Linked DNA regions of Diceros bicornis minor. The protein of the gene in region 3 purifies or fractionates together with the protein of the main gene of each other region. This does not show direct contact. Links are inferred from orthologs where the notes say so. Each region holds a gene or a part of one and is shown on either strand. Other genes may lie near its edges.

What was found.
Region 1: the proteins of HNRNPA1 (region 3) and HNRNPUL2 purify together in Homo sapiens (affinity purification with mass spectrometry; 3 studies listed by BioGRID and IntAct, with this or other methods). This does not show direct contact. The link is inferred for Diceros bicornis minor from reciprocal best matches to the Homo sapiens genes HNRNPA1 and HNRNPUL2.
Region 2: the proteins of HNRNPA1 (region 3) and KHDRBS1 purify together in Homo sapiens (co-immunoprecipitation; 4 studies listed by BioGRID and IntAct, with this or other methods). This does not show direct contact. The link is inferred for Diceros bicornis minor from reciprocal best matches to the Homo sapiens genes HNRNPA1 and KHDRBS1.
Region 4: the proteins of HNRNPA1 (region 3) and DHX36 purify together in Homo sapiens (affinity purification with mass spectrometry; 3 studies listed by BioGRID and IntAct, with this or other methods). This does not show direct contact. The link is inferred for Diceros bicornis minor from reciprocal best matches to the Homo sapiens genes HNRNPA1 and DHX36.

What each region holds. Positions count from the first base shown.
Region 1 is NC_080770.1:10,398,208-10,406,163, reverse strand, and holds the start of HNRNPUL2 (heterogeneous nuclear ribonucleoprotein U-like protein 2), read right to left. Parts: upstream 3,006-7,956; 5' UTR 2,709-3,005; coding exon 2,168-2,708; intron 231-2,167; coding exon 95-230; intron 1-94. Other genes in the region: TTC9C (tetratricopeptide repeat protein 9C), read left to right, coding at 4,444-4,681.
Region 2 is NC_080752.1:46,852,058-46,859,539, forward strand, and holds the start of KHDRBS1 (KH domain-containing, RNA-binding, signal transduction-associated protein 1), read left to right. Parts: upstream 1-4,471; 5' UTR 4,472-4,729; coding exon 4,730-5,111; intron 5,112-7,482. UniProt on the Homo sapiens protein: Recruited and tyrosine phosphorylated by several receptor systems, for example the T-cell, leptin and insulin receptors. Once phosphorylated, functions as an adapter protein in signal transduction cascades by binding to SH2 and SH3 domain-containing proteins.
Region 3 is NC_080756.1:16,116,092-16,123,606, forward strand, and holds the start of HNRNPA1 (heterogeneous nuclear ribonucleoprotein A1), read right to left. Parts: upstream 3,006-7,515; 5' UTR 2,914-3,005; coding exon 2,899-2,913; intron 2,344-2,898; coding exon 2,227-2,343; intron 1,930-2,226; coding exon 1,783-1,929; intron 1,634-1,782; coding exon 1,423-1,633; intron 1,326-1,422; coding exon 1,233-1,325; intron 1,147-1,232; coding exon 1,054-1,146; intron 760-1,053; coding exon 685-759; intron 484-684; coding exon 325-483; intron 1-324. UniProt on the Homo sapiens protein: Involved in the packaging of pre-mRNA into hnRNP particles, transport of poly(A) mRNA from the nucleus to the cytoplasm and modulation of splice site selection.
Region 4 is NC_080741.1:1,290,933-1,298,886, forward strand, and holds the start of DHX36 (ATP-dependent DNA/RNA helicase DHX36), read left to right. Parts: upstream 1-4,938; 5' UTR 4,939-4,978; coding exon 4,979-5,188; intron 5,189-7,954.

The DNA.
Region 1 (7,956 bases), on a different chromosome or scaffold from region 3:
TAATCCACCCATCTTTCCAGACTCTCCAATCAACATCAGGTATACCAAAATCAGAGCAGACACTCCCTTCAATGAAAGGGACTGTTTCCCTCACCGGCTGTGGTAAGCCTCCTCTCGGAATTCATAGTAAGCTCGGCCATGTTCATCCTTCTCATCCCGCTGTCTCTTTACCCCCCGCCGCTCACCATCTGAGCCTGCTGGTTTTGACTTTTCACTATCTTGGTCATCTCCTACAAAAAGGAGGGAAAAAAAATCAGCAGTTTTCATACTAGAGTGTAGAATAAGCTCAGAACCAAAAGAAACTAACAGGGCATCTGCGTATCTGTCTAATCAGAATAGGCAGGTTATTCCTACTGCATGCATGGAACATTTTATTTCCAAAAATTATCTTCCTGTCACTGGTTGAGATTTTACTTCAAAAAAAAAGGAACATTATGGACTAATTACAGTCAAGGAGTAGATAAAAATTGGACAATTTTTGCATTCTAAATTTATCTGCTTAAATCAGGTCAAACTTGCAGATTTTCCCACCAATATAACATAAGAAAATATATCCTAAGTCTTTAAAAAACTTCAAGGTTAATTTAATTTTGATTCTTGATTGTTAGATTGGATTTGCTCTAGACACTTAATATGTATTTTCCATCACTGTTCCACAGCTTCATGACACAGAAGCCTCAGTTTTTCTTTTCAATAGTTTACCTTTCCAGCTTTAAAATGCACAGCCATCCACAGCTTTACTTAAATAGCAGATGGACTCAAGTGCATGATACAGAGCTGTAGTTTTATCATGGATTTCTACTGAAAGTTGCAAAAGTAAACCATTAAGTCACAAGAGACCCATAAATAATACTGCATCTTTAATGCACATTAATTGGGGCAGAAAAGTGTTGTCATATATTTAGCAACCTTCTTTACAAGAGGAAAAAAACCCCCAAATTTTTCCTTAAGCCTTTGTGGTTTGCAACACTAGAAAGGTTTAATAGTAATTTCTTTAAGGCAGTCTTTTATCCCTTAACCTTTTTTATCTACTATTTGGGATACACGTTAAGTCAAAGGTTATGTAATAGGATTTTTGTTTCTGGACATAAGACAGACAATCTGCAAGTTGCATACGACTGTCATAGAAGGGGTTCCAATTACATGATGACACTAAGCAGAAGCCTAAAAAATGTATTATAAGAACTAAGGCAACCCACTTCATAGTCTTGGAAGCAGCTCTAGTTCTCCTCTCTACTCTGACAGATAGTTATGGATCAGCTCTAACCATCCAATCACTTCAAAGGAAGAGAGAAAGGTCACTAACTCCCTGAGGCGACTCTACACATTCTCTTCCAGAAGGTTACTCAATGAACCCACCAACACCTCAACCATTCCAATTCAGGAAGCCAGGGACCTGAAATGTAAAAGGCTACCTAAGCAACGCAAATTTACAAATATGCTCACTCTTCGACTCAGTGGGAAGATTAAAATTTAATCATAAAAACACAGACAAGGTAAAACCCCTACTACCCAAGAATCGTTAACTTATTCCAAATGCACTAGATTAAGGCTTTCTCTTCACTAGTTAACTATTAAACTCGACACCCTCACACCACAGGCTGTCCCCTGCTGCTAAAGCAGGAACAAAGTTAGGTTTCCAGATACCCTGCGTGGCTCAAGCTCTAGCAACGTGCTTTTCGATGGAGCGAACTTTGACGAACTTAGTTTATTGCTTAATATTTTTATGGCGAAAAAATCAACAGCCAGATAGCGCAAAGGCCGAAGCCTCCAGCAGTCGGTCTGGCTGTCCCCCTATTACCGCCAAGTCCTCCGCATTCTCGCTTTAGGAAAAGATCACCAGCACCGCGGGAGGCTGCTCCACAGGTCGCTCACGGAGCAGTTCGCATGCAAAACCGCTCACTTCCATCCACTACCACCAAAGAACCAAGTGAGGCAGCAACCTCCCTCCTGCAGCGAGTGGGGCCACCGGAGGCGGCCAAACCCCCTCGAAACGTGGGTAGAGAATGAAAACCACCTCCCCTGGGGAGTCCCACCAAACGGCGACGGGAATCTTGCACTTTCAGGCAAGCGAGAACAAGGGATCGGACCCCGCGATGCAGGGCTGGGTGCTGGGTCAGAGGCGCACCCGGCAGGCTGGAGCCAGGCTCCGCTGGCAGCTCCTCACCCTGCTCCTCCGCGGCCTTGTCACCAGGCGCCTCGGATCCCGGCGTCTCCTCCCCGCTCCGCTCCTCCGGCTCGTCTTCCTCCCCTTTGCCGGTGCCCTGCTCTTCGCCACCGTTTACCCCACCTGACCCGGCCGTCGCCTCCTCCGCTGGCTGCTCGGAAACATCAGGCTCGGCCGCGGCCTCCATGGCTGCCGCCTCTGGGGGCTCCGGCGGCGGCTGCTCGGGCTGGCCCGAGGCCTGGGCAGGGGGTGGCTCCTCGTCCTCGTCCTCAAGCAGCGCCTCCTCGTCTTCCTCCTCCTCCTCTTCGTCCTCCTCCTCGTCCCCGCCCGGGCCGCCGCCCGACGCGGCCACAGGCCGAGGCTCCGCCTTGCAGGCCCCGCCGGGCCCGGCCCCGCCACCGCCGGCCTCGTCCTCGAGCATCTCGGCGTCCAGCGCCTCCTGCAGCCGCTGCGCCAGATCCACCTTGAGGCCGCGCGAGTCCAGGCCCCGCCGCTGCAGCTCCGACCGCAGCTCGGTCACTTTCAGCCGCTTCACCTCCATCGCCGCCGCCGCCTCCTCCGCCTCCCGCCGCCTCCTCCCCTGCGAACCGTCGACCGAGCCCGACCGCGCAGGCGCCGCCGCCGCCCGCCTCCGCCTCACGCGCCAGCACGGAGCCCGCGCGAGCGAGCGCACGCACGTACGCACGCAGGCGGCGAGGGCCGCGCGCAGCCTCCGCTACGTAGGTTTGTTTCTCCCTCCCCCTCCTTTCACCCCTTCGGCCCGGGGGGTCCAAAACAACGCAGCGGGGACTTGCTTCGCTTCCTGCCCCCTCGGTTCCCCTGCCGCGGGCGGGCGCGCGCCGAGGATGGCGGACTTCCCTCCCTTTACCGCCCGCCCCCTCTCACCCCCTGGGCCAATCGCCGCCGGTCGTGTCACCGCGCAGCCGCACGGGAGCCGCAGCCGGCAAAGGCTGGCTTCGGCTCAAGTGCCTCGTAGCACCGAGGCGTGTGCGCGCCTGTCTGTCCGTACTTCCAGCCGTGGGCTCTGCGCAGCCGCCCGGAGCTCCCTCGCCACACGCCCCTCCCACCCCGTCACCACCTGACTTCTGTCTGCCTTCCGATTGCGCTGTCGTGTTAGGGCTTACTCGCTAGTCTCTGTCTGTACGTGCAGCAGCTTCTTGAGAATAAAAAAAAGCCAGAAGGGAAACTGTTGCAACATGAAAGCCTACTAGCAATTGTCTTTCTGGTTAGCACACATAAGGGCTCTCCAAAACCAACGAATACAGTAACCCCTGGCCCTCCTTTCCTCTCGCCTTCCCTCAACTTCTACCCAGCAACAGACGCCCTGACCTCCCCTTGTAGCTCTCTCATTGGCCAACTTGAATCGTCATCTGCAATTCTGATTGGTCATCTGTGATCGTTTGGATTTTTCCAATTGGCGAAGCTGCCTGGTTTTGTTTTTTACTTCCGGGTTGGGCCAGAGGGGAGGCTGGAGAGGCGGGGTAGTTTCTGCCGGGATTACTTTTCCGGGGCCGCTTCTGATTGGGCGGCGTGGCGCAATCGTGCGACACTTTAGACACCAAACTGTCGGGAGACTGGACCCGGTCCTCTCGGTGGTCCCGCCCGTGAACCGAAGCGCGGGGAGAGACTTCCGGGCTTGGGCATTTGCAGAGGGCGAGGGGCTGGCCGCAGGGCTTGGTGGACTTGCAAGTGAGCTGCCCTGTGGTCGCGTCAGTCTCGGCCGGTGGGTTGGGGTGCTCGGACCGCGTTCACCTCAGTTCCCTAGCTCCTGGCACAGACGTCAACAAATGCTTGTTGAAGAAGTGCAAGAGTCGGGAGGGAGGAAAGCCTTCCAGACATCTTTTAGCAGCTGTCCCCGCCTACTCCTTTGCGCTTCCAGGTCAGGGAGGTGTGTCCAAAAGAAAGGGGGAAGCCAGTTCTGCCGGCGTTCGCACGCCTGCCACAATTTGTTGGTAGGGCCTTTGCTTTTTCGGGGAGTCTCGCCACCTTCGGAATCGCCTCTTTAGGAAATCACTTAATTTCTGGCTCTACTATTCCCACATCCTCTCCCTGATTAGTTTCCTGCACTTCCAGAGATTGAAAAATACTGCAGAGAGGAGAGGAAGGGGCAGTGATAGAAACAAGCAAAGCTCTTTCCCTGGGGGGACCTCCTGGAGAAGGATAATTTCTTGCCTTCTTAAATCGGCGACCAAAATCAGTTACTTGGCTCCCATACCCAGAGCTTCAGTTGCTCTTTCCCTTCTCAATTCCGCAAGAGCACTGGGCGACCGAGAGTTATGGAGAAGCGCCTGCAGGAGGCTCAGCTGTACAAGGAGGAAGGCAACCAGCGTTACCGGGAAGGGAAGTACCGAGATGCTGTGAGTAGGTATCATCGAGCTCTGCTTCAGCTGCGGGGTTTGGACCCAAGTCTGCCCTCCCCGATTCCTAATCTAGGACCTCAGGGCCCGGCTCTCACACCTGAACAAGAAAACATACTGCACACCACCCAGACAGACTGCTACAACAATCTAGCTGGTAAGAACTGGGCTGAAGGGTGGGTGGAGTGTCAAGGCAGGAACATGAAAATCTGTGAACAGTGGAAAAACCACTGACGTGCTTTTCTGCTGTCATTTAGTTATATATATATATTTCCAGGCTATAGGGCTCTAATTGAGTTTCTATAGGGCAGTGGTCCTCAAACTTCACCTGGAGAGTTTGTTAAACACAACTTCCTGAGCCTCAACCCCAGAATGTCCAATTTAATGGGTCTGAGGTTGGGGCCTACCAATTTGCATTTCTAACAGACTCCCAGGAGATGCTGATAGTTTTAGGGAATTTTGCACGCTATAGAGAAAATACTGAACTTACGTATAGGGCGTTGTTTCTTTAATATTTAAAATACAGGGAAGAATGCACTTGCTTCAGCTCGTGTAAGTCACCTGTATTAGATGTTTTGGATAGCTTTTCCTCATTTTCCTCCTTCCTATAAATCGGGATGTTGACTTTGATAACCGGTATCTTCCATCTCCAGATGGCCTTGGGTGAAGAGATGGATGCCAAGAGTTAGTATCATTAGAATTAATCTGCTTAAAGAAAGGAGACTTCCTAGGTCTGTTCTATGGCAAGCAGAATAACCACAGAGTTAATTAAGTTTTCAAGTATATGAAAACATTCGAACGGTCCAAGTTGCAGCCATAGAAATTATTAGTAGTAGTTTTTACACTTTGTAATGGTTGTTTAAAAGGATTTTTTTTTTTTACTGCGGTATTCGTCAGCTATGATTTGGTGAAAATCTAGCTTTTTTACAGTGTGTGTCCAGTGCTACTTTTGGACTCAAGTAACAATAATAGTAATCATAGGGCCGGCTCCATGGCTTAGCGGTTAAGTGCTAGCGCTCCGCTACTGGCGGCTGCTGGCGGCCCGGGTTCCGATCCCGGGCGTGCACCGATGCACCGCTTCTCCGGCCATGCTGAGGCCGCGTCCCACATACAGCAACTAGAAGGATGTGCAACTATGACATACAACTATCTACTGGGGCTTTGGGGGAAAAATAAATAAATAAAATTATAAAGAGAGTGGTCAGGGAGGGCTCATTGAGGTGACACTTATGAAATGCCATGGGCAAGCACTGTTTAAGCCCTTTACACGTATTAACATATTTAAGTGTCACAGCATTCCTTTGAGGTAAATTTAAGGAAACAGTTAAACAGCTAGTAAGTGGTGGAGCTAAAATTGAAAACCAGGGCAATTCTTAACTCCAGAGCTTAAGTTCTTATTGCCAAATACTGTACATTATTAGAGAATAGAATACATAGTAGGGAATTGACCGGAAATTAAGGAAATAAGATGATCTGGAAATGGGTACTTGTAAATATCTTGACTCTCCAGGTGGACTTGAAGGCAGAGACTGTGGCTTAGCCATCTGTAGAGCCTCTGCTTGGGAGTGCTTGGGAGATGCTCCGTGAAGACTCACTGAATTAACAGTTTTCACTCCTTGAGTGCCTGTAACATGTTGAGCAGTTTATTTACATGATCTCTCATCCTCACAAAAATTCTTCAAGGTGGTTATGATAATCCCCATTTTACAGACAAAAATCAGATCCTGTCACTGCCTAAAACCCTCCAGTGGCATCTCATTACACTTAGGAAAAAATCCAAACTCTGACTCTCACCTGCATAACCTGACATGATCTGGCTCTTCCATATACTGAATTCACAAAGCATGTTTCTACCTTCTAGCTTTGTAGGATCTCTTCTCTTGGGTTAGAATGCCCTGTCCCTTGAGTGACCCTGGTCATTTCAGATCTTGGCTCAAAAGTCACTTTCTTAGGCCTTCTGTAATCAAGTATCACTCAGAATTCATTCACTCTTGATCCCAACACAGTTCTGTTTTCCTCAAAGCACTGTAAAAAGTTCATTTATTTGTTTGTTGTGTGTTCCCTACGTGGGGACTAGGATGCAAGCTGCACTCATCAAGACATCTGTCCTATTCCTCTCATCCCCTGCTCCCAGCTCTGCCTGGCACATGGTCAGTGCTCCATAACTAGTTGTCGAATGAATGAATAAAGCTACGGTGAGGGGTTAGTTGACCACTGGGGAACTATCTTAAGTATAAACCGTGTGACCACTTGGTGGTGATGTTGTAGAAGAGATGCAGACATCAGCCCAGGCCCTCTGATGTCCTCATCAGCCCTGATTGTTATTCCTTCTCAGCACCACGATTTAATGATACGTTTAATTCCCACAGTCAGGGCCGGCCCTGTGGCTTAGCGGTTAAGTGCACGCGCTCCGCTGCTGGCGGCCCGGGTTTGGATCCCGGGCGCGCACTGACGCACCACTTCTCCGGCCATGCTGAGGCTGCATCCCACATACAGCAACTAGAAGGCTGTGCAACTATGACATACAACTATCTACTGGGGCTTTGGGGGGAAAAAATAAAAAAATAAAATCTTTAAAAAAAAAAAATTCCCACAGTCATGAAATAAGGAACACATTTCTCTTCTTAACTGTAGAAACGTTGAACATTGCCTCCTCATCAGATTTGTATTTTGAGGTCCCATGAAATAATCCAAGGGAATAGTGAAGTAATATATCATCTTTGAGAATGATGATGATTTTGGAATTAGAGAGGCCTTGTTTCATATTTCTTACTCATTCCACCTAGAAGCTGTGAGATCTTGGACAAGTTACTTTATCTCTCTGAGGCTTGATTTCTTCATCCGTTAAATGGAGATAGTAACACTTACCAGTTTCATAGGGTAAATGAGAAGATTAAATGAGATAATGTTTGTTAAGCACATAGCACAGTGCTTGCTACTTCCTCATACAAACCGTTGTTAACAAAGCTGTTGGGGGCCGGCCCGGTGGCGCAAGCAGTTAAGTGCGCGCGCTGCACTGAGGCGGCCCAGGGTTCGCTGGTTTGGATCCCGGGCGCGCACTGACGCACTGCTTGGCAAGCCATGCTGTGGCGGCGTCCCATGTAAAGTGGAGGTAGATGGGCATGGATGTTAGCCCAGAGCCAGTCTTCCTCAGCAAAAAAAAAAAAAAAAAAAAAAGGCGGATTGGCAGATGTTAGCACAGGGCTGATCTCCTCACAAAAAAAAAAAAACAAAGCTGTGGTACAGGAATTGTGGTGAAATGGGAGATGCCTTGGCTAGAAGAGACACAATGAAGAATTTTAAAGTACATTTTTATCCGTCTTATAGCCGGGCCTAACCCCTCACTAGGTACATAGTAAGCATTTGGCAGATATTGAAGTAGATTGTAAGGTATGTAAAGCTTTTGTTCACTGCTGTATCCTCAGTGCCTAG
Region 2 (7,482 bases), on a different chromosome or scaffold from region 3:
CTGGGTCCAGAAAGGGGAGCTTCTCCCAAGCCCCGAGTTTCATTAAGTCATCTGGGCCCTGACACAGCACTGCTAGTGGCTGCAGTTTGGGTTCTACTGGGGACACGTTGAGTTTGAGGGGCCTCTGAGACATCCAAATGGGGATGTCAGGGATACAGTTGGCTATCTGGATTTGGAACTCGGGAGTTTGGGCTAGAGATCTAAATTCTAGAGCCATGAACACGGAGGAGGAAGTATAGGCATGGGACCAAGCTTTGCTGAACTCCTAACATTTAAATGCCCTGCCCCCACTCCACCTAGCAACTTCCCAAAGATCTAACTTCCCTAATTCCTGTCCGCAGTTGCTCTGTCACTCCTTCCTGTGCATTCCCACAGCTCTCTGTATAGTCCCCTATTATAACACTTTTCATACTACATCATAACTCTAGGTTTACATATTTGTCTCCTTCACTAAACAGTGAGCTCCTTCAAAGCAGAGACTCTAATATTCAATGTTGACTCTCATGCCATTTCATCTACCACACTGGTGAAGACTAAAAAGATGGGAAGACGGTACCCAAAATTGATTGAGGAGGTGGGAGAAGAGGATGCTGTCTACCCTGCTGCTTGGCACAGTCTTTTTGTGCTACTTCTAGGAATTATCCTATAGATATATTGATATTAGTGCACAAAGATATTCTCTACAGTGATGCTCATTGCAGTATGATTTGCAATACTAAAAAGCTGGAATCGACCTACATTTCTTTCAGAAGGGAACTGGTTAAGAAGTACTCAATGGAATATTATGCAACCATTAAAAATGAAGTAGGTTTCTATACAGTGACAAGGAAAGGCAACCAGAATATTTCATTTAAAAACTGTTCGTATAGAACACTCCAGTTTGTGCTTAAAGCAAAAAATATAGACTTGCATATAGATGTATTAAAATGTCTGGAAAGCTACACAAGCAACCACTGAATAGTGGGTATCTTTGGAGAAGGGCAGTCAGGTGAACGGGCAGGTTTGGGGAGGAATTTTACTTTTCACTTTACAAGCCTATCTTATGGTTGGATTTTTCTTAAAACTAGAAGTGTATATATATATATATATATATATTGTGTGTGTGTGTGTGTGTGTGTGTGTGTGTGTCCGTGTCTGTGTGAGGAAGATTAGCCATCTTCCTCTACTTTATATGGGACGCCGCCACACCATGGCTCGATAAGCGGTGCGTCAGTCTGCGCCCAGGATCCGAACCCACAAACCCTGCACCGCCAAAGTAGAGCTCGAGAACTTAACCACTATGCCACCCAGCCAGCCCCTAGAAGTATATGGTTTTGCAACAAAAAAAAAACCTTAGAAAAAATTGTAAAATGTTTAATCTTGGTCTCCCTGTCTCCTTCTCTATCCTCCACATGTTTGGCACCAAGTAAGTGTTTAAGATTGAACAGATGAACTACACTCTTGGAAGAGAAACTCCTGTCCAGGGCTGGAGCCCTTCTCCCAGGAACTGGCTGCAAAGCAGGAGACATAGGCAGGGCCTGCAGATCCTCCACTGGTGGAGATCACACAGGTCCAGCAGCAACAGGCAAATTTTGAGTATTCTCAGCCCGTCAGTTAGAGACTCACATGAAAGTGCAAGTCTGCAATAGGGTACTCAATAAATCTGTGTGTAGCAAGAATAACAATGGCCGCTATCGTTTATCAAGTACCCACTAACTGCCAGCCTCTGTGCTGAGTGCTTTACAGACACTATCTCTTTTAATCCTAACAGCCCTGAGCTAGGTATTGTTATGACTTCTGTTTTATCAAGGAGGAGGAAGCAGAGGCTGAGCACGGTTAAGCAATGTGCTCAATCACTCAGCAGGTAAGAGGTCTAAGAGCCAGCTTCGGACCTCACTCCATCTAAATCACTATGCTCTCAATTGCTCTTGCATCCTACACCATAGTAACTAAACTATGAGAGGAAATAGGGTAGAAGAAACTTAGTCTTTTCGGAACCTCCCCCCTCCAAAACAAAGTCAAGCTATAGTCAGTGAAAATGAGACAGATTAGAGAGCAGGCCTTGCAGATCCACACCCAACATGAAGCAACCAAAAATCTTCATTAGGCATAACTAAATGGCACAATAATAATGATTACTTCTGCTTATAAGCCCAATTGTGAGGAGGTTTACACTGGTCTTTGTCAATGTTCACAACAATTCTGCAAGGTAGATGTCAGTACGTCCACTATAAAGGCTCAGGTTGTGGTTTTCCCAATGACATACAGCAAGGACAAGGCACTGATGAATTTGAATTTGTCTGCCTCACTCCAAAGTCAGAGTCATTTCACAAGGCCATGCTGTTAATACCTTCAGGTGAACCTGGAGCAGCATACCATGGTCAACACAAAATGAACTCTACACTTTCAAGGTGGGAATTACTCTTCCCTGCCCCCGGGAAGGGCCCCCACAATGGAAAGCTGCTGCATTACTGACTTGGTAAATACATCGCAGCCTCAGCAACCCATCACCTGCCTCAGAGATTACCTTTTGTGTATCTCACCAAGAAGAAGAGCTCAAAGCTCCCCTTGACCCCACCCTCAGAGAAACTAAGCAAAAGGTTTGACAGCCATCTGGAAAGACTGCTGATTTTAGTCTAGATACCCACAGATACCACTACCCAGCTCCTTCTCAGACACTTCTTCATCAAAGTTTTATTAGCCTCAGCTCAAGGTACCTCCATCTGGGCATCTCATTACAGAGCAAGGACACTTCAGCCATTTGTAACACCACCACCCAAGCAGGATTTTCAAGGATAGCAGCAGAAATGAGTTGCAACGGAGCTATAAATCCTCCTTGCCCCCTTTCCCCTCCTCCATGCATTTGCTCTATCCACCCACCTATTTCTTCACAGTCCACAACTGGATTACGACTCCCATTCCTTACCCACGTCTCTGCTCATTTATTCACACTTCCCTTCTGCTGGAACTCATTCTCCCCTGGCCGAAATCTATCTTCCGCTTTGAGCTGCAATCGCACTTAATATTCACTTATCTTTTGGCATTTGTCACATTACATTTTTCATTCCAATTATTCAAAAACATTCTTTTTTTTTTCTCCTACTTGACTATAAACTACCTATGTGATCTTAAACTACAGTACTGCACCACACACTGGAAATACATATGTATAATACATGTGTGATAACTGATGGAGATACTTGTGTTTTGTTCTCATTTCTGTGGATGATTTCTCTCCCCCGTCCCCAAGAAGGTAGCCAGGCCTTAATGTTCTCTAGTTGAAGGCTTCTAAGTTTCAGATCCAAATATCAACAGTTTCCAGGCACCCAGAGGACAATTTCCAGAAATGCTTTTGAAAAGCCTGGGCTTATTAGAGGAACTGATCCAGAAGGAAAAGGGATGGGAGTGAGTGCTTTGAATGGGGGAAGCAAAAATCTGTGGAGGGAAGGAAGGGTTAGAGAAGGCACCAGCTCTCTTGAGCCTTTATGGGACAGTAGAGACGTAAGCTCCTTTTGCATATAGCACTCGAGGGATGAGGAGAATGCTGTGGGAGACTGTCCGCTATATACCTTGGCCTTTAGAGCAGTAGTAAGGGTCTGTCTCTTTGAGCAAGTCTGGAACGATCCATTGTGAAGGCCCAACAAAGGCAGGATTAGCACTCACATCCGTATAAAGAGCCACCCTAATGATGCAACCATCAGGGATTAAGGACCTGGTCTCTACCCCACTTTTTTGCGGAAGAAACACAAGTCAGCAGAAAGCAGTACTATACGTAAAGAGCTAAAATGCTTCATCTTTTAAGACTTCTCTGACCAACAATGGCAAATGTTTTAGAGCCTTTTATACTGGAAACCATAGGATACGACTTCTTGGGTTCCCTGCTTTGGTCTGGTGCCCTTTGCTAGATTTCAGGTCTCCTACCTGAACCTTACCTCTTAGTTCAAGTCCTGCAATAGCCTTCGGTCTTCCCACTGACCCGTCCTTCCTCACTTGCTCCTCCAAGCTTCCTTTCCCCATCTCCACCCCTCATCCCTGCGTCAGACTCTCCCTTAGTCGTCCCCTTTTCACTCCTAGTCTCCCCTGCGCCCTGTCTGTTCCTCTCCTCCTGCCTAGACGGCCTCAATTTTCTCTCCTTCCCAGGCGGGTCTCCTTTCATTTCCATACTTTAGAGACCGCCCCCCTCGCCCGACCCCCCCACCCCCCATCCCCCCATCCCCCCACTGAGCACAGCCCGGCTCGGCGGCTCAGCCGTTGGAGGGGGCGCGGCCCCGCGAGTAACAGGTCTCCCCCCCCACACTCTGCGGGCTCGCGCGCAGACAAAGACATTCCACAGCCCCCGCCCCTCCGCGCACTCGGCCAGAAGGGGGAGGAGACACGTGTCCCGCTAGCGCCGAGTCACGTGGAAAAGAAAACGAACGAAGCCCGCGGCCACCCGCGCACGCGCACAGAGCTCTGGCCTGGCGGGCTCGGAGGAAAAAGGGGAGCGGGGAGGCGACTTCTTCGGGCTCCGCGGCGGTGCGCAAGCGCTGTGGCCCGACCGGGGACTTTGTTCTCCGCGGAGAGACCCAAGGGCGGTGCCGGCGGCTGGCTGCGCACGCGCGCCGCCTCATTTCCGGTGCTCTCTTTCGCTGGGTCGGTCGGGTCGCCTTCGGTCGCCGTCGCTCCCGCTCTCCCACCCCCGCCAACCGCCGCTCGGGCCTCCGCCGCTGCCGCGTCGCTTCCTCGATCCCTCGATCGCACATCCTCCCCAATGCAGCGCCGGGACGACCCCGCCGCGCGCATGAGCCGGTCCTCGGGCCGCAGCGGCTCCATGGACCCCTCCGGTGCCCACCCCTCAGTGCGTCAGGCGCCGTCTCGGCAGCCGCCGCTGCCTCACCGGTCCCGGGGAGGCGGAGGGGGGTCCCGGGGGGGCGCCCGGGCCTCGCCCGCCACGCAGCCGCCACCGCTGCTGCCGCCCTCGGCCACGGGTCCCGACGCGACAGTGGGAGGTCCGGCGCCGACCCCGCTGCTGCCCCCCTCAGCCACTGCCTCGGTCAAGATGGAGCCGGAGAACAAGTACCTCCCCGAACTTATGGCCGAGAAGGACTCGCTGGATCCGTCCTTCACTCACGCCATGCAGTTGCTGACCGCAGGTGAGCCGGCCTCCCGGGTCCCTCTGGGTCGCCAGGCCACCCGGGGGCACGGGTGGCAGCGGCTTTGTTCCGCTCGCATCCCTCCCCCTCGGGACCAAGGCAGGCGTGAACTCCCCTTCTTCTCTCATCCTCATTCTGGGGAGCCTGGATTCCACATTCCCGTCCCGGCCCAGGGTGCGAGGGGGAGTTTCTAGGCTGCAGAGGAGGCCCGAAGGGGACTTGGCGATCTCAAAGATCTGGATGGATAGTGCTGAGCTCCCCGCCCCCTTGCCGACCCTTCCCCCTCCCACCTCTCGCAGCTGCCCCGCGCTCCTGGTGCTCAGATGCTTCCAGAAATGAGCCTTTATCACCCCCTTCCCCCCAAAGGGAAAGCTTTTTTGATCTCGGGTGGCGGAAGGCGCCCCGAGTGAGGGTGTAGGAGGTGAAGACAGCCCGAGTGAGGAGGGACGGTGGGTGGGAAAGCCGAGGTGAGGCGAGGTGAGGCTGAAGTGCCCTGTCCAGCGCGCCGCGGTCGCAGGGGCGGGTCGGACTTAGCGGTAATTGACGCTTAAGTTGCTTGGAGGCAGGAGCAACCTGTGGGAATTGGAGCTTGATGTTTTCCGAATCAGATTTCCGACTTAGGCGGATAAAATGATAATTGCTACAGAGCCGGAAGTTTGGATCACTTTATTTTACAACGTGTGTTCATCATTCAAGAAGGGGAAAAATAACCCTAGAGACAGTGAAATCGGATGGTTAGAGGGAGGTAAAGGGTGGTTTGCATTTGTATTTCCGGTGAGGTGGACAGAAATTGAAAGAAGTTGCACGATGCTTCTACCTGAAAGGCTTGGTGTTTTTAGTTTTTTTCTTTTGGCTTCGGGAGTGAAATAGATTAGGAATAGTAGTCTTTGTTCTCTGTCTGTGGGCTAGCGCTCCTTTCCTGCTCAGCACTGGCCAATCACCTAGTCGCTCTGATTTCTCCGTAAAGCCGCCTGTTTTCCTCGCACTTTTAGTTAAAACGTTTTAATAAGTATTTGTTATGATACCTAAATTTTATTAAGCAAGTAAAAATTCACAACTCTCAACACTGAATGAGTAGTTGAACTCTTTGGCAAGGTTGATATAATGGACAGATGGTTATGAAAATATCGTTTCCCTCTCTTTGTTCTCTAGCCCCCAACATTGGTAAAGGGTCTTTACTTTTAAACACAATAAACAAAGCACGCAGTGGTCAAGAATAAGAATATTTAGATAAACTGCTTACATTTTCAACTCAGGGTTTTGCTGTTCTGTAACACAGATTGTTTGAAACATTAGTGTTCATTGTGTTCTTCTGGCAAGCTCTTTGAGGGCAAGGATTGCCTTTTATCTTGGTATTTTTCTTATTGCCTTGAATATAGCAAACACCAGGTGTTTGAATCTGAAAGCAAATACATGCAGATTTAGGAATGTCAGACTAAATGGTAAAGATCGATTCGGTAGTCTAATTTTTATTTCCTCAAATCTTTAATCAGTCCAGATTAAAAGAATGAAAACAGAATAACACACCTTTGAACTTTAAGATGTCAGCTTGGGTTTTGAAATTCTGACCATTAACTAGTTACTTACTCTTAGGAAACTCTGAACCTCAGTAACCTCATCTGTAAAGTGGGATGGTGAGTTGTGAGGATTAAATGATGTTTAAAAGCACCAGCACAGTTCTCTTTGGCCTTTTGACCTATTGTCAATAGATAATAACTTGTCACCACAGTTTTCTTCTAGTTGTAAATCCCTGGTTCTGAAAAAGGTATGAAAACACAAGATATTTTTTGCCTTTCTGACCACATCAAGTGCCCAATGTGGTGTTTGTCTTTTAAGTAAAACATGGTTTCTTAGGATAACCATCAAAAACTATTGATCCTTAAAAGTTACTTATAATTCTCACGCTTCTCTCACTGCTTAACTTCTGTTACGAGAGAGTGCTGTTTAATTTTTTTAACTTGGGCTTTTTTGATGTCTTTTTTTTTAACCAAACTGAAATTTTAATTGGAGAAATGGGATTAAGGTAATGCTGGCTTATTGAGAGAACAGATTTGGAGTGTATGGATACTTCTTAGCATGGATAAGTCATGACATATATTGGACCTAGCTTTTAAGGTATTTTTGAATGATCTGGAGAAGGGGTTGCAGTGGAGTCAACCAACTGTGCGGAAGTGAGACTCTGAGAAGACAGAATAGTGGTATCTAAGCTCTGATAAGGATACATGTAATAACAATATAGCTAACATTTATTGTGCCAGGCACTGGTCTGAGCACTTTACATCAAATATTTAGTCTTCATGACAATACTATGAAGAAGTTATCTTATCCTCACTTTTACGGATGAAGAAACCAAGGCACACAGAGATTAAAT
Region 3 (7,515 bases):
TACCCGTTCAGGGACATTGCAAACTCAGGCTGGATACATCAACTAAGTGCCTAAGGTCCCAAAGGAATTAAAATACTAACTAAATCCTGCTAGAAGCTAATCTAATTCCAATTCAAGACACCACTATCCACTTACCCATCTATTTGGGAGTGAGGCGGCCCCAGCTTAAAGCTAGGAGGAGGTAGCATTAGCAAGCCCATTAAAAAAGAATACCATGCAGCGTACCACGTTAATGCTTTAAGAGCACCAAATCCCCACATGAGCATCAACTCCAAGAGGCTAATCTAGCTACTGCACCAAGTACTTGGATCACTGGATACCTACCACTACCACCGCCAAAGCCGCCTCCGCCTCCTCCGTTGTTATAGCTGTCATAGCTGCCACTCCCGCCATAGCCACTGCCCTGGTTTCCATAACCCTGTCCACCACTTCCATAGCCTCTGCTTCCTCCAGAGTAACCAGGGCCGCCTCCTCCATAACCACCTACAAGAATACAATTCTTCTCAATAAGACAAAAGTATTCAACAATCAAAACCTGTGCAAGCGTAATGGCTAAAAGCCTGCTCACAGCATGCTGTTATGGTCAGAGCTGAGCTTGTCATGCACTAAAATTTTAGTCTCTACTAACCTATTCTAAAGGTTGTCAAAATATTTTCCACCTGTGTATTCCTTGAGAAAACTTACCATCATTACCAAATCCATTATAGCCATCCCCACTGCCACCATATCCACCACCACCACGGCTGCCGCCAAAGCCACCTGGAATAAAGCAGTGTTTTAAACCAGGTTTGACGTTTACGGATTGCATACAAATCACACTCTTCTAAGTCTTAAGTTTTAGGAAGCAGTTCCTGTACTGCAAAAATGATTTCCATACCAAGAATTTTAACTTCTTGTTACGAAGCCAGAACTACATTTGGATAAAATCTAACTTTGAAAACGTGGGCTAGTAGTTACATCTACCACAGGTTGCAAAAAGGACAAGTTACCTGGGGGTAATTAAATCACAAGCTTACTGTTAATTCTTAGTAGTAAACCATTAACAATACATACCTCGACCACTGAAGTTTCCTCCACGACCAAAGTTGTCATTCCCACCAAAACCACCTCCACGACCACCACCAAAGTTTCCAGAACCACTTCGACCTTGAGAGAGAAGTTTTAAGTGTTAAACCACGCAGGTTGGAATTATTCAAAGTGATCTTTAAGGTTTAATTAAGCAAAAAACCCACCTCTTTGGCTGGATGAAGCACTAGCCATCTCCTGCTTAGATAGGGCTTTCCGTACTTCACAGTTGTGGCCATTCACAGTATGGTATTTCTGAACTAAAAAATGTCAAAGATAAAGAGAACATGATCTCACCGTTTGGAATACAACATGGACTTCAGAACCCTTAGCAAGTGCCCATCGTCTGATACTTACTGACAATCTTGTCTACAGAGTCATGGTCATCAAAAGTTACAAAAGCAAAGCCTCTCTTCTTGCCACTGCCTCTGTCAGTCATGATTTCAATCACTTCAATTTTCCCATACTGTTCAAAATAATCTCTTAGGTGATGTTCTTCAGTGTCTTCTTTAATGCCACCAACAAATATCTTTTTCACAGTTAAGTGGGCACCAGGTCTTTGAGAATCCTAACAGGAAAAACCCCATTAAGTTGTTTATTTTGGCGAAATCTAGCCCAAAATCAAGAATGTTAAAAACCCTGTAACACCCACAAATGTGACGTCTACCTAGTGGCACACTTCTAAATGACTAATGGAAGGAAAAAAATATCACTTACTTCTCTTGAGACTGCCCTCTTTGGTTCCACAACTCTCCCATCCACCTTGTGCGGCCTTGCGTTCATGGCTGCATCCACCTCCTCCACAGTGGCGTACGTGACAAAGCCAAAGCCTCTGGAGCGCTTGGTGTTGGGATCTCGCATTACCTGAGATGTCAATTGATTTAATACACAGTAAGACTCCAAAACCTACAGTCATTTCTAGCTTGAGTAAGGTTAATAGGAGGCTCTATGCAAAGCTCTTCAGTTTCCCACTACCCACCTCGGGTAAATCCATTGAAAAGGAGCTTTTAAACAATTTAACAAAGCCCCACCTTCCCTTGCCAAGCTGTTTCTAACTCGAATCCTGTCAACAATCTTCACAAGCAGTCGGACAGGAACCATAGCAAGATAAGCCAAGAAAATCAACTGGTTCTATCGCCTTTTGCCTCTTCCAAGTCTTACCACACAGTCCGTGAGCGTTCCCCATTGCTCAAAATGGCTCCTGAGACTCTCGTCGGTTGTTTCAAAGCTCAAACCTCCGATGAAGAGCTTCCGCAGCTGTTCGGGCTCTTTAGGAGACTAGGAGCAGGGGAAAAAAGCGTTAACTGGGCTATAGTGCGAAACACCTTCCACTTGAGAGAAGCATAACTAGACAGCAACCTACGAAGCACTTATTGTTCCCTGGGGCCGCAGCAGGCCACGTGCTTCCCCCCATCAGGGGAGGCGTTATGTTCGGGGCTGGGAGGGCTGGGGAGCCGCGAGCGCATGCGTCGCCACTCTCCTTCCGACGCACGCGCAACAAAAGGACCCGGCGGGCTTGGTACGTGCCAGTACGGGACTGTAGCTGCTCCTCAAGAAACTCGCCCACCGAGACAAGGGGAAAAAATAGATCGAATGTGCCGAAGAGTTTTGCCAGGAAGAACGAGCCCGGCGTGGTAGCTAAGGGTTGCAAGACGACGGCCTCATGGCGACGACGAGGACAAAATGGCGACCTGAACTTTGGGAGGAGTAGGCCCTGGCAGCGATCGAAGAACTACCGAATGGGCTGGTACAAGCAGCCAAACCAGGCCGCGTCCTACCGAACTCAGGGGAGGGCGAGGAAGAGACTGAAGTTGGAGAGAGCGTCTTACTCACCTCTGACTTAGACATGACTACAGTGGGACGGGAGACCTTAACGATGCTTCCTCAGCGGCGTCCACAAGCAGAAAGGAGTAACCTACTAAACGTATCTGCCAGCCTACCTTCGGCCTCGCTTTTTTATCCCGCCTCCTCGGTGTCGGCATTGGTAGACTCCGCCCCTGCGTAGCTCTGATTGGTTATTTGAAACAGCTTCCCCCTACTATTGGTCTGTGGTGCCGCACTGCTGTATAACGTCATCCGTTTGGGCGTTCTACGCAGTCTCCACCCCTTGGGGGCCATTGGTTCCCGACTAATATTATTCTTAACCAGACTGATTGGCTAGCCAATCAATCATTCATATTTTAATACACGTAAGCTATGTAAATAACTTTAATCCTCCACGCCCCGGATATTATAGTCAACCCACGGAGCAATGTATGATTAATACTATGTATTGGAAAAGTAGTTAGCATGTGATAATTTTTTTTCTTTTGCAAAGATCGCCTGCTGAGCGCATGTGTAGTAAAATGGCGAGTTTACGCAGGCGCATTAAGAAGTTCCCCCTGGCGCTTGGAACACGTGAAATGGCGGGCGGGAGACAGCGGCGGACCTACAGCGCCTGCGTAGTGGCGGGAGTTGTGCTCCGTTTTGCGCAGGCGTAATGGGCGGAGAAAGGGTCCGGTTCCAGGATTGGTCGCGCAGGCGCAGGGAAGGATCCGTTTTGGCGGGCGGTTGGCGTTGCGCAGAAGGCGGCGGCAGCAGTGGCTTGTGGTCCGGCCTCACCATAGAGGAACGGGGAAGACGTTAGCGTGAGTGATCGGTCTCCATCCCGGGTAAGTGGCTGACAGCCTTGCCTACCCATACGAGGTCTTGAACCGACTCCAGTTGGGCCCGTTATTGTGTGAAATGAATGGACTGTAGGGTGGGGGCCAGTGAAAGGGGAGCGGTGGGTCCGGCCAGCCAATGGAAGAAGAGGGGCGGGATGTTTTAGCCGCATAGGTTCTGTGGAGCTTTGCATCCGAGGCGTTTGACTGGCGAGTGTATAGACCAATTGGGTCTGCCTGTAGCCGCCGACTGCGCGGTCCTTGGGCCATCGGAATGTGGGAGGCGGGTTTTCCCCTCCTGAGCAGCGTGTCTCCGAGCCAATGAGCACGCAGCGCGCGGTAGGTTGGGCTCCTCCGAGAGGCCGCCGTGTGACTCCAATGGGGAACGCGGGAGTCGGGCGGGTAAATGGATGGACCGGTTCTGGAGCCAGTAGGCGGTCAGCCTCCGGAAGGCGCTCGCGCAGGTCGTCCAATGAGCGCTCCAGAAGAGGGAGGTCTTAGATTTGGGGTAGTGGGGAGGGGATTCAATGCCCGTGATGGCGCGTCGGGGTAGGTATTTCATCCACAATGACTTCTCTCTAACAAAGCCCATGGGCCTCCATCCCCAAACCTCCCTGGTCCGGAAGCTCTAAGTTTGTTCCCGTGTGTCTCGATTTCGGCATTTTTTTCCCCACATCGGTGCATCCCGCCGTCCACCACTTCATAGGTTTTAGGGAGAGCAAGGGAGGTTTTTTGACTTTAGGAACTCGCTTCTCTAGGAAGACTGACTTGAAATGTTAAAATGAAGAGGATAAATCTTTATGTATTCTCGTGGAAAGGCGCCCGAAGAAATTCTGCATCATAATAATGCATATTTCCACGGACAAATCGATGTTTGTAAATCCGTAGAAAAAGTTTTGGAAAGCTACATGCCAGAGTGTGTTACCTCTAGGCATAAAATGGGATCGAGGCAGGTGGGATCTATAATGCTTAAATCCTCGCAGGGATAATACTTTGAGACTAAAGTTAAGTTAAAAGGTCAGTTTTTGTGTTTCCAGTCATAATCACGTACTTCTCGTCACCCATTTTCTCCTTACACCTCGAAAGAGAGCTGTTTTTCCCTTTAAGAACTAAGGTGATTCTCGGTATAAAAATATAAATTTAAAAAGGTAACTTTTTTTTGAGTGCTTAGTACCTGCTAGGCATCATGCTCAGCACTTTACAAGCATTTTCCTTGTCCCCACTGCCTTTATCTTAGCCTGTGAGGAACTTTTCCCCCCTTATGTCTCTTTCTTTGCATCGTTAAAGATTCTCTAAGCCCTTCTTTCTGCTGCTCCTTTGAGGATGTCTGAATTTGGATAAGAAGGAAGTTGCTTAAGGAGAGTGATGACATTTAGGGTGTTGGGAACAGGAGGTCTCATTTATCACCTGGATTATTTATTGCCTTTTGATTGTATTTCCTTCAGTGTTTATTTTACATGCAGTCCATCTCCTGTTGGTAATGTCCATTCTGCTTATTCCAAGATGTTTTCGTAAAATATAAAAATTTTTATTACATATTGGCTGTATTAGAGTCTGTACTGCTCCATTGTTCGTTGATTTATTTAGGGTCAAAGGAGAAAAATTTAAATACTGTAATAAGTTCAACTACATATGGAGCACACTTATGCTTAGAGTTTTCTGACATTGTACAAAAGAAAGATGATCTTAGTTGAGCTTGTAATGAACAGAGGAGAGATTTCCACGTTCTCTGGCACTTGCAAAGGACCTATTTCATATTTGGTTATAAACTATTTGTAGGTATGCTAATAATGCAGCTGCTTAGCTTATAAGAACTGAAGAGACACAAGTTAAGGCTATTTGTCCCTTAGGTTTGAAAGGAATACAATCTTGATGTACGACAAGGTTTATCAACCTCATCACTATTGATGTCTTGAGCTGGATAAATGCATCTCACCTCTCCACACCCTGATTTATGACAATCAGAATGTCTTCAGACATTGCCAGATGTCCTGGAGTGGGTGCGTGGGGTGTGTGCAAAATCTCCCCCAGTTGAAAACCATTGATCTAAAATGACAGATACTAGAGTTGGTTATCTCATCAAAATCTTTTATTTTACTAATTAGAAATTAGAGGAAGAAGATGGTTGAAGTGTTTATGTTTTTAGGAATTGGCCTATGGTTAATGGATCACTAAATCCTAATGATTATCTCTTCGGCTATACAGTGATAATTGTTTCATTGGATAAAAGGAAAATTTCATCAAGATTTTTACCATTCCTTGCAATTTAAACATGATTGCATCTTGTGTTCATTTGGCTTCCTAAAATAATGAATGGCAAATATGTTTTTGAAGAAGGTAGACTTTGCTTCTGATGCTTCTTACGTTTTCACCTGATTTAAGTCTCTTTCCTTTACTGGAATTCGTTTGGATCAGTGTCTCAAACTTTTTTGACCTTGACCCTCAGCAAGAAATACACATTTTATACTGAACCTGTACTCACATTGAAACAATGTATACACTATACAAATATGTATATAAATATAAATGTGCAAAGCACTCTGGTATTTCCTCATCTATAGGACACTATTTCATTTTCTTAAAAACATAGATCAGTTTCTGCTGAAATGATTTCACAGCTGTGTACAGACCCACAGTTTGGGGAAAAAAGAAAAACAAGCAATCTGAAGAATAGGTAACCAAATCATGCCATCTTAGATGTCTCTGTGAGTCAATTCTTCTCAGCTCTAGCCCCAGCAACTTGGATTTATAAACAAATTAATCAATGACCCCTTTTTGATATTTTTAATGTATACTTTAATTTGAAAGATTTCAGGATTTGAACATAGACTTCTTGGTTTACTGTGCTGTACAAGTAAAGATTGTTTTATTGTGAATTCTCTTGCAGTGTCATAGCTAATAGGTCTGATGAACATTTCTCCCTGGTGGGGAAATTTTAGTGGGTGATTTTTCATTGATATTCTGAGATTATCACATTGAAAATCCTAACTTTAGACTTTTATTTCTTGCCTTTGAAGACAGGTTTGGTTGTTAACTTGTACCACTCCGTTAACAAGACAAAATGTTGAGTCCTTGTTAGAAAAATTAAATTTTGAGCACTTGTGCTTATAACTTAGAGGCATAAGATTGCAACCAAACCAAAAAAGGACATTGTTCACTAAAAGGGAAAATAATACATCTTCACTGGTCTGTCTGAAAACCAATAAATAGGAAACTTTTATCTGGGTTGTAGGTGACCAGGATGATGATTGGGGAAAGAGAAAGAAAAAACATACCTCTGAAGTGACTGGATTTTTATATGTCTAGGAAAGTTCTGGTGATTTTCAGAGCCTTTGACAGTAGCTCTAGAAAAGAGAGGAAGGTACCCAGGGTACATAGGTTTCTGATGAAGACGAGTAGTTTTGCTTTTTATTGAGGTATTTATTTAACCACATAGTATGATTTACATATCTTATTGGAATAGCCCATTTAACAACCCCTGGTAAAGCATTTCTTTCTTTTTTTTGTTCTTTTACTTGGTCTATTTTTATTTCCATTCACCTTACATGAAATTGGGCCTAAAGCTCTGTGCTGTGGATATTGATTTTAAATGTAATAAATTACAGTGCAAGCTATCACTGATAACTCACTCAGTATGGCTGCCCTTAACACATTGTTATTCATGAACTTCGACTCTGGGCAGTTATCTTTTTTCCCTGACATAAACCTTGATTTTCCTTCTCTCCTTATGGAGGATGGCTTTAGCTGATCATTGTACTAATGGGAAGGAGTCCAGGTCATCCTGAGAAGAGCTGGCTTGTGCGGAGTC
Region 4 (7,954 bases), on a different chromosome or scaffold from region 3:
ACACATTTCTTAACTGTCCACCTATGGAGCCTGTAACTTGAGAAAAAATTACCTGTAGCATCTACTTTCTGTTAATACTCTGGAATATCACAATGTTTCTAAAGTCTTCCATGTACTGCAGAGGCTAGAAATCTGAAAACTATACTTCCCACTCTCTCTTGCCAGCAAGGTTCAGGTTTAGCATCTGCCCATGAGATGTGCAAGGCACAGCTGAAAAGAAGCATTATGCTCATCTGTATTGAGCTGGCAGAAGGATAAAGGGCATGGAGGATCCCGCACCTGTGTTCTTAGCGGGCCTGGCGTGGAAGAACAGCACCTCAGTCACTGCAGCCTCCACTACACTGGACGCATCTCAGTACACAGCCAACTGAACTGCAGAGGCGGCTAAGAAACACATCTATCTGTGTGCACAGGAAGAAGAAATTCAGATTTGGTGAACAGCTAGCGATCCAGTCTCTGCCACATGCTATGATCCCACTAGACAATCATACACCATACCATAACAGAACGGGAATAGTGGCCCCTCCCTGGTGTCATAAGATGCTGAGACAGAGGTGCTGTGTACAATAAGCCAATGGTGGTACATGTTCCCAACGGTGGTACATGTTCCCAAGTTTGAGTTACTTGATCTTGACTCTAAATTCGGGACATCAACACCCTAGTACAGACCAAACTGCCCCAAACCTAGGTCAATGTGTTTATATGATCTCTTCTCCAGATTAAGATACAAAGAAAATCATATTTGTATGTCTTCCCTTTAGTCTTGAGATCTCAACCTTAAAATGCATAAAGAACACACATACACAAACATTCACATATACAAAAACACATATTCTTCTTAATAGCAGCAATTTGCTGACACTGGGCAATCAAAATCCAAATATAAAACCACCATGGATGATGATCTTTTGCAACACTCTGCAGAACAATTTAGATTCCTGGAGCCACATTGTCCTGAAACACTTTATTACAAAGGAGCGTCTTTCTACTTTACATATGCATAGTCCCACTCAGTAATTTTCCAGGAAAAAGAAAAAAAAAATGCCTCAGAGGTAAATTTTAGTCTCCACCACTTAGCAGAAATACAACTCCCAGAAACTTTAAAATGTCAGGGTCAAAACATTAGGGTTTAGAGAAATCCAGTCACCCTATATAGTGTAGACACATATCTACATGCTAACAGAAGCCTTGAGACCTATTTTCATTATCTTTTTTTAATTTAGAAAAAATGTAGAGATTAAAATTAAAAAATTTTTTCTTAGTATTCATTCATATTTTTTCTTAAGTTCCAAGATTGTGTACTTAAATGGAGTAGAAAAAAATCCACTACTTTAATGAGACTATAGTTTTCAAGGGAAAGTATGTTACGGAAGTCACTCAAGGTCTTTAACACGGATCCTGGAATCCTTTGACCTCACTAACAATTTTTTTTTTCCTTTTCATGAGAAACAGATGGAATTATCAGATAGTGGCAACTGTTCATAGTTAGGATAACACGACGTCTGGTTTGTTAACTAAAGTTCTGTTTTAACTAAATCTGACTATAAGAGCTTCAGTCAACAAGAGTCATCCTCTACAAATTCATTTTCAGTGTAACTAAAACTTCCCAATTTGAGTTCCAAATTTTGTGACAAGAAACTCTACTGAGTTATTTAATAAGTTCTTCCATATTCTTCCTGATATAAGAGAAAAACATTTCCTCCATTTTCCCTCCTTTCCCACCCCCACACAGCCAGATCTTTCAATTCTACAGACCTCTAGGATTACTTTTATCAGCACACCCCCACTCCCCACCCCAAGAGGCAGTACGTCAATTAAGGGTTCCATTTTCCAAGGGCAACACTAAAAAAAAACTCCTCACCCAGGTCTTCATGAATATCAGACCCATGAAAAATTATGCAAGTTGTTTCACAGGGTGAGGGTAAAGAAGACGGAGAACAGGGATTCCCTGAGACTGGGAAAACAGTGGTAGTTTCCAGTGTGTGGCCTTGTGTGGCTCGCCCTTGCTGCATCCAGAGGCGGCTGGACTGGGAGGTGGTGCCTGTAGGTCTGCGAGCAGCAGTCCTGGGTTCTGTGGCCCAGCCACCATCAGTGCAGAGGACATTCGAGGGAGCCATCTTTCAGCCCGCCCAGAGCACAGCACAGGCGGAGCACCGGTGACAGTCACAACGAGCCAGCACTCCCTTTGCTTCCTGGCACTAGGTAACCTAAGAATCCTTGAGGGTCCAATCAAGGCAGGAAAAAAGTCCAAGTCACAACTGACGCTTTTCTTCCCATTAACGTCCTTCTCGTCTTTCCTACTAAATCTCCCCTTCGTGCAGGTTTCTACTACATGGACATTTACTCTGAAGTGTCTGCCTAAAGCAACAGCCTCAAGCAATAATGTACTACTTCCTGCTGAACATGTCAGCAAGAATTAGTCACTTAAACTCGTAACTAAGATTCTATTCAGGATCGACAAACCTGAGGTGAAGAGAAATAACACAACTTATCAGAAAATAGAACACCCCTCTCTCGGCTATTGAGAGGACTGTGTGAAATACGCAACGTCCTTACTCTCCTGCTGCTGCCACAATGAATGACTGCACACTCAGTCTTCACTGGCACAAGTTCACCACCTTCTGTTACCTCTGTCGCAGGGAAGCTGCGACAGAGTTCCTGCCTGGAGCTGGGGGGGGGGGCTCCGCTTCCTCTTTCAGTCTCAGAGGCTGCTGCACTCCGTAGCTGTGGCCCCTTCCTCCACCTTCAGAGCCAGCGACAGCCGAGGCCTCCCATGGCGTCACCGTGAACTCTCTGCGCCTCCCTCTGCCACTCTGAAGGACCCGTCATTACAGCAGCTCACCCAGGTAATCCAGGACATCTCCGCTCCACGACCAGCTGACCAGCAACCTTCACTTCCCTGGCACTGGAACACAGCATCCTCTCAGGCTCCGGGTATCAGCATGCGGGCATCTCTGGGGTCACTGCTCTGCTGACCACAAACATGCACCAGCCAGTCACGACCCAGCGGGTACTAAGTGACAGATAAATGCCCGTCCTCTTCCCCTACGCCCTGACGTGGTCTGCTGGGGCGCCGTAACTAACGCCGCAGGTGCAGGCCGGGTGGCTTCCACAACAGAACTCATTTCTCAGCTCTGCTGGCGGGGCAGTGCAAGCTCAGGGCGCCCGCGCTGCAGCTCCTGGTGGGAGCCCCGTCCTGGCTCATAGACCGCCTGTCTGTCCTCACACGGCCTTTCTTCTGAGGAGAGCCAGCGCGCTCTCGGGGTCTTTCTTACCAGGACACCAATCCGACCAGATCAGGGCCCCACTTGACGACCAACTTGCCTACCTTCTCAGAGGCCCACCTCCAACCCAGCACCCTGGGGGCCAGGGCTTCAGCGCAGGAACTGTGGGGGACACGTCCAGGCCACAGCACTGGCTCACTAACGACCCACACTGCCTCCACACACCCACCGTCTCACCTACCGAACAGGTCACACACTTGTCCCACCAGTGTGCCCAATGGGCACGTCTAATGGGACACGGGTACCAACGGGCACAACGAATGGGCGCATTTACCGCAATGCTCATTCCGATGGTCTTAATACTCGCCTCCAACTCCACAAAGGTGTAACGTCTGCCCTTTCTGTGCTGCTAACTCGTCCGAGCGGCCGCTCTCTCGTGTCTCCTAAGCTCCCAGTATCAACTCACTCCCCACGCACTAACTAGACACCCCGCCAACCCTCCCCACCACAACCCCCTCAGCCCACGCCCCTCGACTCCGGGGGCGCTACCTGCTCACTGACCCCCTCCTCTCTCCACGTCCCACCTCACAGCCGCAGCTCCCACTCTCCGACCCCAGGCCCCCCCACGCCCCGTGTGGCCTCCCCACCTCACCGCCCGTTCACCCGCCTGTCTACACCCGCTTCCGCCTCCTGCACCGCTCTGTCCTCGAAGCAGCCACGGCCCCCCGGCCCCCCGAGTAACCGCCGTCCTCTACGGGCGTGTCGGGTCCTGGCCGGCCAGGCCCCGTCCCGCCTCGGTCTCGGGGAGTCCCCTCACTCTCCGCACCCTCTGCCCCTCCTCCCGATGACCTCTGCCCTCCCCGAGCTCACTGCCGACCCCGCCGTCCCTCAGGACGCCCTCAGCCCACCCAGGTAACCTGTCTGGGGGGAGAGGCTCCCCGACCCTCCCGGGCTCGCTCTCGGGGCTGCAGGGCAGACGACGCACGGGCCTCGTGCGTGGGTCTCAGGGAAACCCACGGGGGGGCGCGGAGCCGCTGCCCGCGGCGGCGGGAGGAGACTCGGCCACCAGCGGCGCCCGCGGGGACGCGGTCCCGGTCTGCAGGGCCGGCCCACCCCGCGGCTCCGCGCGGGGGCACTGGGCACAGCCGCGTCCTCGGGGCTCCGCTCGGAACCCCGCCACAGAGGGCGCCGGGCCCGTGCGCCCCTCTCCGCCGCCCCTCCTCGGGACGGGTCGCAGGGAGCCGCGCCCGCGTCCTGGTCACCGTCCCGCCGGGCGTCCCGGCGCCTCCACGGCCGAGCGGGAGGGCGGCGCCGGTCCGCCTCCCTCACACTCCGCGGCGCCGCGCCGCGCACGGGGAGCGGCGGCCACTCTCGCGGCGGCGCCGCCACAGAAGTCGCGTCTCCGGGACGCACGCGCTCCGCCGAGCCGGCCGGCAGCGAGCTCGATTTCACCACAAAAGCCCGACGGAAGCCCACCCACTTCCTCACACGCCGGGCGCGGGCCAGGCCCACCCGGCGCGGACGCACGACGCACGCACGGCGGCGGCCCGCGCGGCGCGTCACACAGCCTCGCGCGGGCCGCCCTTCGACCCCGCGGCCGGCGCCGTGACGTCACCGGAAGCGCCGACCAGGGGCGCTCAACGGCCCGCCTCGCGCCGGCGCCGGAAGCGAGGCGGAAGCGGCCTGCACCCGCTTCCGGGCCGGTCGCCATTTCCAGCGGCGGCCGGGGCTCGCGGGCTGGGTCCGCCGGGACGATGAGCTACGACTGCCCCCAGGGCTGGGGCCGCGATGGCGGGCCCCGCAGCTCCGGCGGCGGCCGCGGGGGGAGCCGAGGCCCCGGCGGCGGCGGCGGCGGCGGCCGGGGCGGGCGAGGCCGACACCCCGGGCACCTGAAGGGCCGCGAGATCGGGTTGTGGTACGCGCGGAAGCAGGGCCAGAAGAACCGGGACGCCGAGAGGCAGGAGGTGACGGCGGTTGGCCGGGCGGGCGGCCCCCTCCCCGCGGCCGCGGGGCGGAGGTCTGTGCGGGACGGCGGCTGTCGGGGCTCGCCCGCGGTGCGCCGAGCGGGGCCGCCGCCTCGTGCGGAAGGGCAGTCCTGCTCTCGCCCTCACTGTTGAAACAGCCAGACCGGGGTTTCTGCTTGACGTCGGGCTGGGGTTTTTGCTGTTGGCAGCCGCTCCCTGAGAAGGCAGCGGGGCCCCGGGGGTGGGAGGACTGTGGAGAGGGTGCGTCTTAGGCTCTTCTCCCGGGGCTGGACGCTGTCCGCCTGGCTGGCGTCTCGGGGATGTGCAGTAAAAGGAACGTGCAGGCTCCCGAGTGGCCTGTCCTAGTGAGAAGTCGTGGTTAACAGAAGCCCTCCTCATGCAGGCCTTGGGCCGTGTTCCTGGAGACTGCTGCCCAAGCGCCCTTCGTGCCGCATGGAGTGTAACCGCCGCTCGGGCTTCTGTGTTGAAGTCGTTCTTTCTTTTAGTCCTGTCATTTTCATTGAAGTGTTTTTGGGCATTATCTGTCTATCTTAGCAACTCTTTAAAAAGAAAGCGTATTTCTATGATAGCCCAAAATTCATCTGTTCGGTGAGCAGGCTGGTTCTTGACAAAGTCCAGGGAAGCGGCGGTAAGACGTCGTGAGGCTGGAAGAATCGTCGAGCGCTTACTGTAGAGGGACCTGCCCAGTACCTTCTATGCACTCTCAGTCACGTCTTGTTTACCCGCGTGTCGCGCGAGGTTTGATGCATGTTGCTACGGGGATCTAAGGAAATAATGACGTTCAAGGAGCTTACAGACTAATTGGGAAAAGATGAAAAGATAATTCAGAACTTGTTCGTTATTTTGAGTTGAAGCCGGTTGTGTGATGGGTTATCGTGAATGGATGTCTTGATTTCCGCCCCTCCCCAAACCCTCTCCATTTTAGTAAATGTCACTACCATTTATCCACTTGCCCAGGGCAAAATGGGTTTATCTTTGATTCTCCTCTTTCATTTCAGCAAATCTGTCTGCTCTGCCTCCCTAATACATCCAAAATCCAACCCTTCCTCCCTACAGCAGTTACCGTAGACGCGGCCGCTGCCTTGTTTCTGTTTGTCCACTGTAACTGGTCTTCTAGCTTCCCCTCCTACTCCCCATGGGTCTGTCCTTTGTGGAGCCACTCTGGTGGTCTTTGAAACAAAAAAAATTAGATCATCTCATTCTCTAGCTCTCAACTTGAGACTGGAAGCCAGGTCACTTCTCAGTCGAATGCATTTGAGTTGCATCCTAGCCTGTTTTCCAGGAATATGGTTATCCAGCTTCAATGACCTTTCTGAGCCATGTCCTCAGTCTGCTGTAATTATAGCTTTTGTAAACAAACTTTTATTTTTGCTTTTTGTTACAGTTCTCGTACTGTTCTACTCTAAAATGTGTCTTTCTATCTTCTCTACCTAAATATGAGTGTTTTTCAATAATTGGCCCACCCTCCCTTTCTTTTACCACCTTCAGCTGTATGTGATCGCTTCCCACTCAGAATTCCCATAGCTTTTACTTTGTAAGTAATCCCTGTGTTTACAAAGTGAATGCATTCTATGATGCACTTTTTCTTTCAATAGATATTTACTAAGGGTCTAATATATTTGAGGACGGTATCTTAGGCACTACCTTACAGAGACTGTGGTGTGTTAGGGGCTGTGGAATACAGTGTTAAACATTACAAAGGAGAATGTGGGCTATCCTCTTAACTCAAACGAGGACAATTCTCGATTTTTCAGAGGAAATAACCCTTAAGCTGAAATTTGAAAGATGGCAAAGTGTGTCTGGTTTTGAGATTTGGGGACTTGGAAAGGGATTTTCAGGCAGAGGCAGCAGCGTGTGCCACAAGCTAGAGGTGAAAAAGACCATGTTCAGGGAACTGAAGGAGCAAGAGCACGGCTGTGGAGTGTGGTGAGAAGAGGGCAGGTCAGTGGCTCTCACACTTGTGGGCCACTTCCCACAAAAAGGAATATATTTTAATTTGCAGCCCAGTAGATGCATGTGTGTAGCTGAACAAGTTTTGTAAAATGATAATTACCTGTACTTTACTGTGGGTTGTTGTTGTTGTTTGTACCTTTCTGCTCTCTTTTGTATTAATATTGGTCATAATCCGTTAATGTAATTTTACACACAGCAATTTGAAAAGCCCTGGGCTAGGAAAGTAAGCAGGGCCTTGAAATTCATTGACTTTTCCCTAAGAACTCCTGCAAGCCATACAGCATTTGAAGCAAAAAATTAAATGACTGGATTTGTGTTTAAATTTACTCTGTAGGGAATGGATTGAAAAGAGGCAATCCTGAGACAGGGAGACCAGTGAAGGAGCCCTTGCAGTAATTAAGATGAGGAATGATGGCTTGAATTAGGACATTGGCAGTGGAGATGGAGGGAAGTGGACAGATTAAAGTGATTGAGGAGATAGACTCAAAATGGTTTTATCTGGTGGGAAGGGGAAAGCAAGTGTTAATGAATGACACTTTTATGACTATATGTGGAACAGCCTTGATGGAGGAAGGGGATGGACTCAGCTTAAGGACACTGTGAGTTTGATATTGTTATAAGGCATAGAAGAGGGGATTTCTAGGAGGTAGAAGTCCATGTGGATCTGATGCCTAGAGAAATCTAGGCTGCAGGTGAACTTGTGACAGTTTGTGGGCCTGTGGACAGTAGTTGGAGTGTGGAAGTGAGCAGTGAGAGGAGGAGTGGGTACAGGCCTCAATTCCACAGACATGG